2 linked regions of the Notamacropus eugenii genome follow. The protein of the gene in region 1 interacts with the protein of each later gene in a biochemical or structural test. Links are inferred from orthologs where the notes say so. Each region holds a gene or a part of one and is shown on either strand. Other genes may lie near its edges.

Region 1 (7,416 bases):
CATATGAAGGAAGACACTATCTGAATCCAGAGAAAGAAGTGTGTAATAATGGGAGTTAAAGATCTTCCCCACCCATCAACAGGTCTCAGGTGGAGCCCATCAAGGGAAGCTTGATTAGGGGAAATCTGTTTTGTAGGAAGGCTCACATCTTTGGTTAATTGTTAATGTGGCACTGGGTCATGATACCTTCTGGCTCTGAAAAGTGTATATATACTATGAGGTGAGGTTTTGCTTGGGGGCTTACTCTTTGGAAGAAGGTTTGTGTGCAGATGAGACTCTGACTAGTCATTAAGAAGCCCCCTCCCCCATCCCACCCCCATCTCCCCTGTGCTTTGAAAACCCAGATGTTGGTGCCTCTCTCTCTGGTAACTATGTATGTATGTAATGGTCAGACAGTTGGATTTGTCTGTTGATCTGTGATGTATATACTGCTTATGTTCAGACAGTTAGAAGCCCTGTCTGTTGATCTTTATTTCTCTGCTTGTATTTTCTCTGTTGGCATATATGATTAAAGAAGACTATGACCTCTCAAAAGTTGCTTTCCTTTTAGAAAAGCAGATGTAAGAACCCATGCCAGCAGGTTACACTGGATGTGTCAGGGTGCTTGCTGCTACAAAGTGCTAAATAGAAGTATGTATAGAATGATTATATACTGCCAGGCCTAGAGGCCTGTGGGCTACCCGAGTCTTCTTACCTCACCTCCCGAGGTCTTCGGTTGGCCAAACTGGATGCTCGTATGAGAGAAAGGACGTTCCAGAGTCGAACAAGGGTTGAGCTTTATTTCAGGGTCTAGTTACAAGTGCAGGGGAATTCTTCCTTAGGAGGGAAAGAGAATGATCTCCCAAGGAGGCAAAGATCTTACAATAAGAGATTGGAAGTAGAAGTATAAGCGGGGAGAGAGGGGGAGGGGAGAGAGGAGAGAGGAAAAGCGGAGCCTTGTTGTCCTGTCCGCTCCGCGCCCCTCCGCCCAAGAGAGCTTTCAGGCTTTCCTGATCCTACTTAAACCCTCCAGCAGCATAGTTTGCATCTGAATACTGTGCTGTTAGATAACAATAGTGTGCCCAGATCCAGGACAATCTCGAGGGCGGGGAGAGCTCTCTCCCATCACATTTCTCACGGGAAGAGGAGGAAATACACGAGATAGCTCGGTTCACCTCGATTCCCAGCCGTTTCCTGGGGGGTCTCGTGAGAACTCTAAGATTTAGAAGTTCCCACCTTTACCTGCCCAAGACTGTCCACATGGAATTGAACTTCCAACCCTAGCATCATACATATACATATGCACACACATACGTATTTGTGTCTAATAGTAGCCATCTCTAGAGGTGCAGAAGGGAGTGAAGGGGGGGAAAAGAAATTTATATGACAACTTTATTATATATTTGAATGGAATAGCAAATTGTATATAGTATATTTGCAGTTTCATGTATAATCTTTTTATGTCATGTCATGATAATGCTTGTTTTATCCCATAAATTAAAAAAATAATAATATTCTCTTAATATTGTCTGGGACTTGAGATTAGCTTGGAGAATTTACCATAACTCAAGGTCTAGTTCTTTATTTCGATCTGCCTACAGGAAAATTCCACTTGAACTTCCAATTATCACTTCAAATTTACATTCTAAAACTCAACCTCATATTCCCATCCTAACTAGATCTCTTTCCCAACCATCTAATTTTCCAGTCTCCAAGGAGTTATATTTATGTTCTTTACTTATTCTTGCTAAATTTATCACAGATCCTCTTGATTTTTCCTTTGCTATTTTTCTTGGAGTTATCCCTCTCTTTCTGTCCATTGGCACTGCTATCATCCTGTTCCATGTTTTCGTGACTGAATTATTGCAAAAGCCTTTTAACCGGTCTCCTTTCTTCCATTATCTCCTCTCTCCAACCTATCCAGCACATTGCTTCCAGATTAGCAATTAGGTAATTTTACTATCTCCAAACTCTATTGTTGACAATTCATTCTTTATAGTTTCCCAAAGTTATCTTTCTAATGATTACTTAGTCACAGGTTTATCAGACCACTTAAGCTCAAAAACCTTCAATATTTTCTCATTAACTAATAGATAAAATACAAATTCATTAGCATGGAATTTAAGGTTCTAATGGACTTTCCAGTCTTTGTTCCTTCTGTTTTCCTTCACATCCTCCATGCTCCAGTCTAAACAGACTACTAACTCTTCCCTTACTTCTGACTTTTTCTGTTGGCATGTTATCAACCATCCCTCTATCAGACTCTTCCCTGCTCCCAATCTCTAATTGTTCACATCTTTCCTCTCCCTCAATAACTGAGCTACCAATTAGCCTGTCTTGATCTTTCCTGCTAGTCAGAAATCCTTCCCTTCTTGAATTTCTCAGACTGTTCTGCTCGCCCTTTCCTTCATATTTAATCAATTTCTAACTTGTATCAAAAGTTATTTGTGTTTATGACATCTTTTCCTCCATATACCCACTGTATTATAAAGTACTTGAGGAGAAGAATTATTATTTTTCACCTTTATATTCCTAACATCCAGAACAGTGCCTTACACGTAGCATTAATTTAATAAATAAATGCATGTTGAACTGAATTAAATTTAAATGACTAGTAGTTTTTTTCTCTCCAAATAGATTGTAAAAATTCGGAAGTCAGGCAGGCAGGCAACAAGCATATATTGAGGAGTTACAATACACCAGATGCTGTGTTAAGTACTAGAAATTATTTTAAAAAAAGAAAAGAAAAGAAAAGAAAACCAAAAAACAGCATTCCCTGACCTCAGAGAGAATTCATTCTAATGTGGGAGACAACATGTAAACAACTAGGCACATACAAGATATGTACAGAGTAGATGAATGATAATGTGAAAGGAGATAGCCCTAGTAGCTGGGAGAACTAGGGAAGACCTTCAGTAGAGGTGGGCTTTGAACTGACACTTGAAGAAAGCCAAGGAAGAAAGCCAAAAAGCCAAGGGATAAGGGGATAAAGGATTCCAAGCAGAGGGGAAACGGAAAGTTGTCTTTGTGGAACTGGAAATAGGCCAGTTTATCTGGATCGAAGAGAATGTAGTGGGGAGTAAAGTCTAAACTGACTGAAAAGGTAGAAAAGGGGCTGGATTATGAAGAGCTTTAAATGCCAAACAATAAAATACATTGTTATGCTAAAGGTAATAGGAAGCCACTGTAGCTCATTTAGCACAAGGGTGATATAAGCAGACTTACACTTCAGAAAAACCACCTAGCCAGTTGAGAGGAGGACACATTGAAATAATGAGAGATTTGAAGCAAGGAGGGAGACCAGCTAGAAAGTTAAAGCAGTAGTACAAGCAGGAGGTGATGAACTAGGCTTGTATGAGAGCAGAGAAATGTTATTAAGACAGAAAGGACAAGGTTTGGCTACAGATGGGATATGTGAGGTTAAAGTGAGGACTTAAGAATAACATGGTGGTTGTGAGCCTGGGTATCTAGGAGGATGGCTGTGCTCTCAATAGTACAAGAAAATCGTAGAGTTTGGTAGAGTGTGATGGTGTTGGGCAGGGAAGGAATGAGATAATGAGTTTAATTTTGGACATGCTAAGTTTGAGATACCCATGCAATATTCAGTTTGAGTTGTGCCTGAGGCATTTGGAAGTGGGAAACTAGCTTAGGAAATAGACTAGGGCGGAATATGAAAATCTGGGCATCTTCTCCATAGAAGTGTTAATTGATCCCATGGGAGCACCAACTTAGGTGCGAGGTAGTATACAGGGAAATAGGAAGAGGGCAGAGACTATAAGCTATAGGTCCTTGTATTCATGCCAACAGTGAACACCGGGTTGACAACAGGAGGTAAATAGAGATAGCTGTGCTGTGGTATAAAGAATACTGGATGTTGGACCAGAGGACTTTCTGCTGCTTTCCATTTCTGCAAAGTTGGGAAAGTCATGTAAACACATGGGGCCTCCTCTGTAAAATCAGGGAGCTAGACTGGAGCATCTCGAAACATCCTTCCAGCTCTAGATTCTATACCTACACACAGTTGATACTTAGTTGATAAAACGAACGTCGTCCCGGCACAGTTCCTTTCTTGACAGATAGCTGGAGATAGCACCTCCGAGTTAGCAATTTTATGAGTCTACAGCTCTAGCAGCTAAAGACTCCAGCAGCCTTGTAAAGAGGCCCTATTTGGCAAACCAAAGAGATTTCTTCTACTTTAAAAACAAACTCAATAGCCAAGCCAATTGAAGATTTTATAAAATGTAAAACTTTCAACAAAGTCCAGAGTTTAACCCCCTTCCTCCCCGAAGGGACCATTCATTTACCTTCAAAAATGACTAAGTCCTAATATTGAGATGAATAGTGATGGAGTTCAGTGAAGAACCCCGGGAAAAATACGGGGAGAAAAAAATAGGAAATGTACACAGGGAAGGGTCCCTACTTCAGAACAGCTGTTGGACCTGGGAAGGGGTCGGAGGAGTGACCCCTCCTTCCTCACTCCTATTGGTTCTGCTTCTCTGAGGTTGATTGGGTAGATGTCCCTTTCCCCTCCTCTCTCCATGCCCCCTTTGGCTCTCCTCCCCGATTTCCCCGTTTGGAATTTTCTAAACTGGAGGCTTGTAGGGGCTGTTGAGGGTCTTCTGATTACAGCTCAGCCGCGGGCGTCACCCTTCCTGTCTCCTGCTGGGGACCCCGCTCAGCTTCTAGGTCACTGAAAAGTTTGGATTTGGGGGTACCTTACTGGGACATGATGTCTCCCAGGGATCTTAAGAGGAAGAGAGGGGAGATGACTGCATGGACGCGGGTTGTGCTACTGCTGCCCTTGGCCCTACTTCTGCCCGCCGTGCCCGGGGACTGCCTGAGTAGGCAGGAGCTCTTCCCTTTCGGACCCGAGCAAGGGGACCAGGAGCTGGAATCTGGGGACGACTCCATCTCCCCAGCGCTAGAGCTCCGACTGCCGATCCACTTCTATGACAAATACGATGTCTCCTCCGTCTATGTGAGTACAGTCCTCGTGTGTGAGTGTGTGAGTGTGTGTGTGTGTGTGTGTGTGTGTGTGTGTGTGTGTGAGGGTGTGTAGGTGTGTTGGAGTCGGAGTATAAGGGAAGATGGGGAGCGAGAGAGGGGGGTGGTGGGGGATGTTCTGGGCAAGGGAAAGGGTGCTTGGAGTAGAGGTAAGATCCGACGTGGGGAACTTACAGACCCAGGCGCCAGGGGAAGTGCTTCTGGGGCAATCTCTGGGCCTAGTGTGAGGGGAAGCCCTAGGGTCTCGTTTACACCCCTCGGGTTTGTATTTTCGGCGCCTCCACTGCCTCCTGTGCGCTGCTCCCATTCAACCCCGGCTTTGCCTTCCTCTTCACTTCTCCCAGAGTATGTGTCTTTGGGAGTTGCCTCTCAGCTGGTTTCCGCCCTCTAGGGAAGAAAGGGACTTGGGGAGCCACACTTTTCTCTACTTTGGCATCCCTATTTTATGCTGCTACCCTTGAATTCCAGACCGGAATTTGCATCTCCTCCAAAAGAAAGGGGGATTTAGCGCCTGGGAACTTTGCTTGTAATTTTTCCATTGTCCTGTTAGTTTGGAGGAGGGAGCACACGACCTTCTCTGTACAGCTTGTACTCTGTACAAGCCCAGGATTAAATCACCTCCATCAGAGTTCAGCCCTGCATGGCCGAGAGCTGAGAACCCACAGTCTTGCTCAAATGCCACATGGTGCCCAAAGCATAGGAGGTCAGGAGTGCTGACACGAAGGGATTAAACCTCATTCTTTGCCCTTGGGTAATTAACTTGCAGAAGAAATTTCTGTGTATTTCCAAGGACTGATTTCGGAGGCTTTTTGTATGTGGCTTTCAAGGTATCTCTTGGCAATGATTCACCTCCCTAAGTAGGCTTATTTTAGAGCCCAGACAGCAGTATAATGGACTAAGAGAACCCTTGTGATCTAATTTCCTGTTGCATTGTGTGTGTGTGTGTTCGTCCCTCGTTGCCAAAGAAGATCATACCATCAGAGAAATAATGACATGACCATTGTAGACTTTAAAAGAAGAGTGAAATCAGGCAACTTTTAGAGCTCTAATGAACTTCATGTCTGATGACAGAAAATCTGTCCAGGCTTCTAATAAATTCCATATAGAAGTTGGGTTTTTCCCCTCTGTGAAGTGTTACTGATCTCAGCCCAATCTCATCCTTTTCCTCTCCCCTTCATGTGGATTTTACATTTATCGTATGTGTTCCAGAAGTGGGGAAACACACGTACCATTGTATCCTGCCTGTTAAATGGAAATGTTTTGTGAGAGGACTGGTTGAACTTTGCCTTTGACAACGCCCACGTGTAGCTTTTCTCCTTTACATAAGAATGCTTAAGTCAAGAACTCACAGAGAAGGGACTCTAAGCAGGGCTTTATTAGAGAACCCTCTAAGAGTTCTTTCTATCTATTGTACTGCTGTCGGGTCTCTAAAATAAGCCTATTCAGGGAGGTGAATCATTGCCAAGAGATAACCAAAAGCCACACACCAAATGTCTTGGCATTAGACCTAGAAAGGGACCTTAGAGGTCGGTTACAAGGTCTAGCAGATAGCAAGTTGGGTCTGGAGTCAGAAAACCTGAGTTCAAATGTGACCTCAGATGCTTACTAGCTGTGTGATCGGGTGAGTTATTTAATCACTGTTTGCTTCAATTTCCTGAACTTCAAAATAAAGATAATAATAGCACCTACCTCAATAGGTTGTTGTGAGAATTAAATGAGATAATATTTGTAAAACACCTGGCACATAATAAGAGTTTAATAAATACTTTTTTTCTTCTTTCTATCACAAAAGTAGTTTTAAATCTGTAAGGGACTTTAGAGGTCACCCAGTGTAATTCTCTCATTTTATAGATGGAAATTCTAAAGCCCAGATAGGTTACGTGACTTGCCCAGGGTTACCAAATCCAGGTCCTCTGATTCCAGATCCAGTATACTGGTCATCTTGTCTAACTCTTTCATTTATAGATGAGAAAGCTGAGGTTCAGATCATTCTACAGATGACATATAAAGCTTTAAAGTTTGCAAAGCACTCTGGCTACATGATCTCATTTGACTCTCATAGCAACCCTGGTCTGCAAGTACTTACAGATAATATCATCCCCGTTTTACTGAAGAGCAAATTAAGGCAATTAGAGGTTAAGCATCTTGCCTAAAGTCACAATGTCAGAGGCAGAATTTGAACCCAGGCCTCTTTTTATTTGTGTGGCTTATTCTTTGTGTGGCTCCAATTTGCCTTTTTGCCATGGCATTAACCTAAATATCTGGGGATCTCCTAAAGACTTGGAAACAAGCTCTGGAATTTGATTGTTTCCAAAATAAATTCCAATCATTCAGTTACCCAGATAACTGGGTAGGTTTTTATTTTTTGTATATATGTGAGAGAATTCCAGACTCCTTTTTGGATATTGGATTGTATATGTAAGAACTAAATAT
Region 2 (7,697 bases), on another chromosome or scaffold:
CTAAGAGCCTGAGAGGGATACTGTGCAGCAGCTGTCCCTCCCAGCCTCCTGTCTGTCACTTGTCCATTTGATGGAGATCCTATCTATGCCTTTGTCCAAATCTTTGATAAAAATATTTCAAAACAGAGTCAGTCAGCCAGTCAATAAACATTCCTTTATTAACTGACTGACTCATGGAGGAGGGCCGACAGATCTCTGGCGCACTCCACTAGAAACCTCCTTCCAAGTGGACGCTACATTCATCTTTGGGTCTAGTCATTCAAAGCAGTTTCAGATCCATGTGGCTGATTTGATCTCTGGCTCATGAGAGAAATTGTGGAATATTTCCTTGAAATCTGACTAAGTAACATCTCCAGCATTCCTCTGATCTGGAAATCCAGTCAATTTATGATATGAGGAAAATGAGGCGGATGAGTTGTCTGCCCTGCCCTGCCCTGCCTGATGGAACTTTCTTCAGCCTTGTGAGAGGTGCTTCATTTTCCAAATGTTCAGGAACCATTCCTTTAATGATACCTGACTGGGCAGAGGGGAGGTGTTGAAGGAGGAGTCAGGAAGACATCAAGACCTGTTATGAAGGATGTGTTTGCAGAACTTTATAAGTGATTAGATGTGAGAGGCAAGTGAGATGCGTGAGCATCTGGGAGACTGGAGGTGACATGAGCCTCATAGGAAAGACAGGCAGAAGGGAATGTTTGGGGCACAGTGATTGCAGAATTGGAGTGTTGTTTGGGAGAAGGCTGGGGCTAGAGATACAGCTGTGGAAACTGTCCATAGCAAGGGCTTGTTAGATCCACCAGAGGTGACACACGGTGAGAAGATTTAGGGAATGGAAGAAAGAAGAGAAGTTGGTCAGCAAGGACCAAGTGCTTTAGTTGCTGATCCCATGGGCCATCCGGTGATGTCCTGACCAGGTGACCCTGAGCCAGTTGCCAGCCCCCAGCATCCAGGAGGCCTCTGACACAAGAAGGGGAAGAGGAGGGCTGACTTGCATCAGTGCAGTTCCACCAACAGGGATCTCCTGAAATCTCAGGGTCTGAGCCTGATCCCCCAAATGACGTGAGGGGCATTAGACAGGTGAGCTCTGAGGGATATTCTCTAAGCCAGAAGATACAAGATGCAGAAGGGTTGGAGATCTGGACCAAGGATCCTTAGGAAAGGAGGGTGGGGAAGAAGTTCCATTGAGGCAGAGACAGCCAGAAGCATCCAAAGCATTCCACACTGCAAACAGGTGGAGAAGGAGGCGACTCAGGCACAGGCCATGCCATTTGGCACAGCAGGCATTGGTGATTTCCCAAAGCATTCTTTCAGTTGAGTTATGTAGGCAGGAGTTAGACTGGGGAGAATCTGGGGAGGGAATGGGTTTCTGCAGGCCAAGGGGGAAGAGCTTGAACACTGACCCCTAGCCTTTTGTGAGAAGGATTTGTGGAGAGCTCAGCTCTAGGAAAATCCCTCCTGGAAGGAGACTCAGGAGGTGGGAGATGAGTGGGAACACCTTCCCCAAGTGGGTTCTCCTGCTCCTGATAGGGAGTCTCAAATATCCACTGGATGGATCCCCAAGGAAGGGAAGCAGAGAGGGCCCAAAGCCAACTTCAGATATTGTGTGTGTATGTGTGTGTGTGTGTGTGTGTGTGTGTGTGTGTGTGTGTGAGATGTGCTCTGTGACAGGCCTGTGAACAATTGCTAGGCAAATATGAGGGCCAGCTGTTCCCCATTACCCAGGTCAGTGGGAAGGTTAGGGGCTGGTCTCAGGCAGGGACTTAGATCAGACTGCTGTGGAGAATTTTCTAGCTCTGCTGGAGGTGCATGAGCAAGCTGACCAACTCAGCAAAGTCCCTGAGCCCTCCTTCCCAGAGGCCTTGAAACAGAGAACACATTCTCCTGAGCTTGGCTAGGAAGCTAGGATGAGAGGCAGTGACAGCCCAGGGTGACCCTCTCCGTTCCTCTTGGTCCATCTTTCTGGCTGTAGCTCAACCCTTGACTGGTCCAGAACCCCTCACCGAACATTTCCCCTCTCCTTTACTTTGGGTGAGACTTTCTGCCCCTTCTCTTCCCCTCACCCTCCATCTCTCTCCTCATTGCATCCCAATGACCAATGTCTCCACCATTCAGTTTATCCAACTTTTAAACTCTGGGACTTTGGGGTCTGCCTCCCAGCAGAGAACTCACTGGGGCCACACCTGGTTTTAATTGGTTTTCTGCCCAGTTCTTGGGAACTCTTCATAGGGTTAGAACATGGGTTCTCTTTCTGATGGGACCAGCCCCTCCCTTTGGACCTGAGTTGGGCCTGGCTCTGCCCATAGGAAGACCCAGTCAGCATAAGTGGAGCCTAGAACATGGCAAGGATGTAATCTCTACCAGGTGGCAAACTCTAGAGGTGGGTAACCCAATATCACTTGACACATAGTAGGTGCTTAATAAAGGCCTATTAATGGACTGAGTGCATAGAATCCTATATTTAAGGCTGGTCCCTAACATTAGAGGCTATCTGGTCCACATTCTCCTTTTATACAGGTGGAAACTGAGGCTCAGGAAATGAAAGTGATTTGCTCTGGAGGCTGCTCAATCACACAGTGTTCACAGTGTGGGAGCCTGGAGTCAGGAAGACCTGAGCTCACATGTAGCTTTAGACACTAGCTCTAGGACCCTGGGCAGGCCACTTAATTTCTGTCTAAGTTTCCTTAGCTATAAAATGGGGACAATAATACTTACTTTACAATATTGTTGTTGATATTTGTAAAAACAGCTAATCAGGTGCTGGGCCCAGATCCAGACCTATCGAGTGATGGATCGCTAGCAGGCTCAGTGGGTAGAGTGATGGGCCTGGAGTCAGGAACATGAGTCTTCCTGAGTTCAAATCTGGCCCCAGACACTTACTAGTTGTGTGACCCTGGGCAAGTCATTTCACCCTGTTTGCCTCCATTTCCTCATCTGTAAAATGAGTTGGAGAAGGAAAGGGCAAACCACTGCAGTATCTGCTGAGAAAACCCCAAATGGGGTTACCAAGAGTCCACCATGACTGAAAAAATGAGTGAACAACAACAAAAAACCTGACTGTGCCAGGCCTTATGCTAAATACTGGGAATACAAAAAGAGGTAGAAGACAGTCCCTGTCCTCAAGGATCTTACAGTCTCACAGGGGCAGCAAGATGCATACAAAACTACACAAAGCAAGCTCTAGATGGTATAGAAAGTAACAGAGGGATAGCATGGGAAGTCAAAGTGTTTGGAGGAAAGCTTCCTGTCCAAGGGGGCTGTAGGACTGAATGGAAGCCAGGGAGATCAGTAAGCAGAGTGCAGAATGAAGAGCATCCCAAGAAAAGGCCCAGAGCCGAGAGAGGGAATGTTTTGTTTGTGACCAGAGTCTGTACTGTGTCAGAGGAGAGAAGGGGACGTACCAGAGAGATGCTGAAAAGCCTCAGCAACATATTAGATATGGGTTGGGGGGTGGATGAGAAAGATCAAGGAGTCCAGGCTGACTCCTAGATGGGGAGCCTAAGGGACTGGGCAGAAGGTGGTGCCCTCTATAGTCATATGGAAGGTAGGAGCAGAGGAGGTTTAGGAGGAAAGATAATTAGTTTACTGTTAAATGTATGGAGTTTCAGATGTCTACTGGACATCTAATTCTGGATATCTGGGAGGCAGTTACCTGGAGAGCCCTGCAATGAAGTGTTGTGAAGACATTTTAGTTGACTTCCTTGGATTAGAATAAGAATTAGGATAAGAAAATTATTCCATCTCCCCCTCCCCCAAAGTACTAATTAGGTTTCCTCTTTGCCTATTTGCTTTTTCCCTCCCCTTCTGGTGCTGCAATTGTTAGGGTGTCTACTGATTGTTAAGCAAACGTAAAAGAAAGAGAAACCTCTGGGTTCAGAGGTCAGAGGCTGAGGGTTGAGAGTCAATAATCCCACCTTCAGGGAGGGGAGAGAGAGGGGCAGGGAGAAGAGGGAGGGAGGGGAGGGAGGGGAGGGAGGGGGAGACAGACAGCTTGGAGCAGCCCATCACTGGGGTTTTCAGCCAACTCTGATATTCTGTGGCTCAGTAAATCCTGATATCCAGTAAATATTTGTAACAGTTGAGGGGCGGGGGAAGAGAGAGAGAGAGAAAGACAGAGAGAGGGAGGAAGAGAAAGAGGGAGAGGGAGAGGGACAGGGACAGGGAGAGAGAGAGTTGCAGAAAAGGAGGTGGCTGCTCTCCTGGTGCCCATAGTCTGGAGACTGATAAGACGAAAATACAGATAAGTAGAACACAGAACAATGCCCATGATAAGTGGCTTTCCCTGGAGGGGGCAAAGTGCTCCTTCTGAGGTGGGGGATGGGAGTGTTCAGGACAGGGGCCTCCGGGAAGCATGGACTCCCCATCACTTGTTGTGATGGATGGGGCAAAGGGGACTGTGGGTCCTGGAGGGACATGTCTCAGAGCCTGTTCTCTGGTTCCGGTATTCTGAAGGGGCACTGAGTGACCTTCAGTCTTAGGCCTGGCAGGAGTCCAGTAGAGTGGGGTGGCTTTGGAGAAACTCCAACCGAGGGCCCCTTCCCCTCTCCACTTTTGGAAAGAAGCGAGGGCAGAGGAACATGAGAGGAGAGAAAAGGGGAGACAGACTGAGACACGCAGAGAGAGACAAGACAGGAGCAGAGAGCTGGACAGACAGAGCAGAGGGAGGGGGAAAGAGTCGTTTTTGTTTTTAAAGAACCCCGAACCCGGGAGACGGAAAGAGCCAGGCAGCCAGAAATCCAGCCCGGAGCGGCCTGCTGCCATCACTCCAGCGATCGGCCCGCCCCACGCCCGCCCGCCCCCCGCCCCAGTCCCCCGCCCCATCTCCCGCTCCCCCTAGCCTAGCCTGGGCTTGGGCCAGAGCGCTTCCAGGCGGGATAATTAAAAGGAGCAGGGCGAGTCGCTCCCGAGGACAGAAGCAAGCGGGCGGCCCGGGGACCGCTGGGCACCCCGCGTCCTCACACTCCCTCACACAAGTGCCCCCCAAGTCCAGAAGGGAGGAGCGGGAGCCGGGCCGCCGGCCGGAGAAGAAGGAGAAGTCGCTGGCCCCTTTGTGCGCTCAGGGGGCTCACCCCCTTCCCAGAGTCCCGCGCCCCATGGAGCCGGCCTGGCCGCCGCGCCCTCTGGGGCTGCTGGCCCTCGTCACGCTGCTGGCCGCCGGAGGTAAGGAGAGGGGCCAGCTGGGGGGCTGGGGACCGCCCCCAGAGCGCAGTCGTGGGGAGAGGGGCTCGGGCGCGAGGTGGTGCCGGAGACCTCAGCCCCTTAACGTCCCCCTTCTCTCTCTCACAGAAGGGCCTTCTGTGGGTTCCCCCCCGCCCCGCGCCTCCTTTCTCTCTGCCACTCCGGAGGAAGGGAACTTGTGATACCCGTCTGTCCTGTCGTGTTCTGGCCTCCCGTCCTGGCCACTGACACAACCCAACGGCATCGCCAGCCCCGGCACCCCAGGTGCCCAAGGGCTTCCGCCTCGTCTCTGCCTCCCTGCCCACACCCTCCCGCATTGCTCGCCATCCCCTCTCCCCCCCACCAACTCACTCTCCCCACTCTTCTCGGAGCTTTCTTTGAGAGGGCAGATGTTCTTCTCACCTGTGTGACCTCGGGCATATTGCTTCCCTGTTCCCGGCCTCGGTTTCCCCATCTGTCAAAAAGGGAGGTGGACTAGGTGTTTTCAGCCCACCCCCACCCCATCTTCCAAATTCTTTTCTCCCACCTCCTTGCCAACACATGCTAATTCCTAGGTTACTGTGGCAGAGTGAAAAAAGACTTGGGAGTGGAGAACGCTGGGTTCTCAGCATTCGCTGAGGGTGTCTATCCCTTGGTCAGAAGAGACTTTGTTGGGGCCCCTTCTCCCCTAGCTCACCCTCCCTTTTCTGGGCTGTAAAACCATATCAGGGAGGAGGCAGCCTTTTCCAGGGGTCCTGCCTGCAGTGTCCCCAGCTCTAATCTACACAAGCCCTTCCTAGCGTTGTTATTGAAACAATTAAAGCCAGAGACCAGAACCATTCCTGGTGAGGGGGTGGGGAGTGGGGAGAAGAGGGGCAGTGCTCAAGAGTCTGTGGGACAGAGCACATGTTTGCTTTCTCCTCCCCATGGGCATCCTGGCAGAATCTCTTTCCTCATTGGTGGAGTCCAGGTCTCAGGGAGTAGGGAGGGGGCTGCTCTGGACTTGGAGCTCTGGCTTCCTCCCCTGATTCTGTGGCCATTGGGCATGGGTGGGATTTCCTTGTCCAGAGTCTCATTTTCCTTATCTGTAGAATAGTGCCTTCAGCAGTAGTGCCTTCAGCACTTGGTGTTGGGAGAAAGCTTGTGAAAAAAGGAAGGATTTAGGAGAGACTCTGGCTGTCCAAGAGACATCCAGTCCAGTTCGGGGAGCTTTGGAAGCCAGGGCAGTGCCCAGACATGGGCACTCCCTCAGATAATTTGGCCAGCTCCAGAACCAGGCCTGGTCCCAGCCTCCATTCTTTGCCTTCCTGAAGGTCTTCAGGCAGAGATGGATGATCAGTTACCCACTAGAAGGTTCTTGTTCAGACAGGAGTGAGATTAGATGAGCATTGAGATGCTTTCCATTTCAGAATTGCCATGGTTCTCCCTGTACAGTCTTGTCCCTTCCCCTTTCTGGCCTCAGTTTCCTCATCTGTAAAATGAGATTCCCTGTTCTTTAATGTCCCTTTCAGCTTCCTCACCTATTTTAAAAAAACTGAGCTATATGGACTGGACAGCTGAGGTGGCCTTGCTGGCTCCTGACAGTGGACAGTAGCTTCTACCCTCTGGCATGGGCTGCTGGGCCTGGCAGCTGGAGAAATGGGACAGGAGAAGGTTCTGTCCCCTTCCTCCACCCCAGGCTTTCTTCTCACTAGTCACAGGCCTGACCTCCAGGCTGACTGGGAGCTCACCCCAAGGACATGCCTTTCTCTTCCACCCCCAGGCTCTTCCATTTATGGCTTTGGGGTGGGGGTGTTTCTCTTTGTGGGCCCCCAAACTACCAGAAAAGCTATTGGGCAAGTCTGAATGAGTGGGCAGCAGGGACCCCAAAGAGTCCCAAAGAGGAATCGATTTTGGTTAGCTATTTACATAACCCTGACAGGGACAGTCAAAGTTTCCCCTCCCCAAGCCCCCAGAGCCTCACTGGGGAGTTGAGGAGCTTCTGGCAGGTCTGGACAGGCCAGGATAGCTTCAGGCCTGGCCCATGGTTGGGGGGGAGCAAGGAGCTGGTGCCAAGGGATGGGTTACTTTGGCTCTAGTGCCTCATGGAGACCAAGGGAATCCCAGTAGGGCCCTACCCATCTCCATGGAGAGAGGAATGATGGAGGATGGGATCCCAGAGCCTAGCAGTCAATGACTGACAATGATAGAGCCAGACAATAAGATGGGATGATTTGAATCCAGGGTCCTCCCTCCTCTATTCTGCTTAGAGCATCAAATGACCCTGTATTAATACCCCAATTCAAAAGAATTCAAGAAGCCTCTGAATAGGGAATCCTTTCCTGGAGGTGTCTGGACCCACTGACTCCCCTGGCATCCTGAAAAGAGCCCTTGGCTAGCAGCAACAAAGCAGGAGCCTGATTCTACTGCTTTATTGACTTTGTGATGCTGGGGAAGGGGCATAATACCATCCTCCTCATCCATACCATGTACTGCCTCCCTGGTGGAGTGGTGGGAAGATGACACTGGTGGTGGTGTCCTGGAACCTGGGTTCTAAAGTCATCTCT

Evidence for each region.
Region 2: the proteins of NID1 (region 1) and FBLN1 form a complex in vitro, tested with the Homo sapiens proteins (3 studies listed by BioGRID). The link is inferred for Notamacropus eugenii from reciprocal best matches to the Homo sapiens genes NID1 and FBLN1.

Annotation. Positions count from the first base shown.
Region 1 is NC_092873.1:395,773,876-395,781,291, reverse strand, and holds the start of NID1 (nidogen-1), read left to right. Parts: upstream 1-4,411; 5' UTR 4,412-4,705; coding exon 4,706-4,957; intron 4,958-7,416. UniProt on the Homo sapiens protein: Sulfated glycoprotein widely distributed in basement membranes and tightly associated with laminin. Also binds to collagen IV and perlecan. It probably has a role in cell-extracellular matrix interactions.
Region 2 is NC_092874.1:310,068,184-310,075,880, reverse strand, and holds the start of FBLN1 (fibulin-1), read left to right. Parts: upstream 1-4,691; 5' UTR 4,692-5,087; coding exon 5,088-5,154; intron 5,155-7,697. UniProt on the Homo sapiens protein: Incorporated into fibronectin-containing matrix fibers. May play a role in cell adhesion and migration along protein fibers within the extracellular matrix (ECM).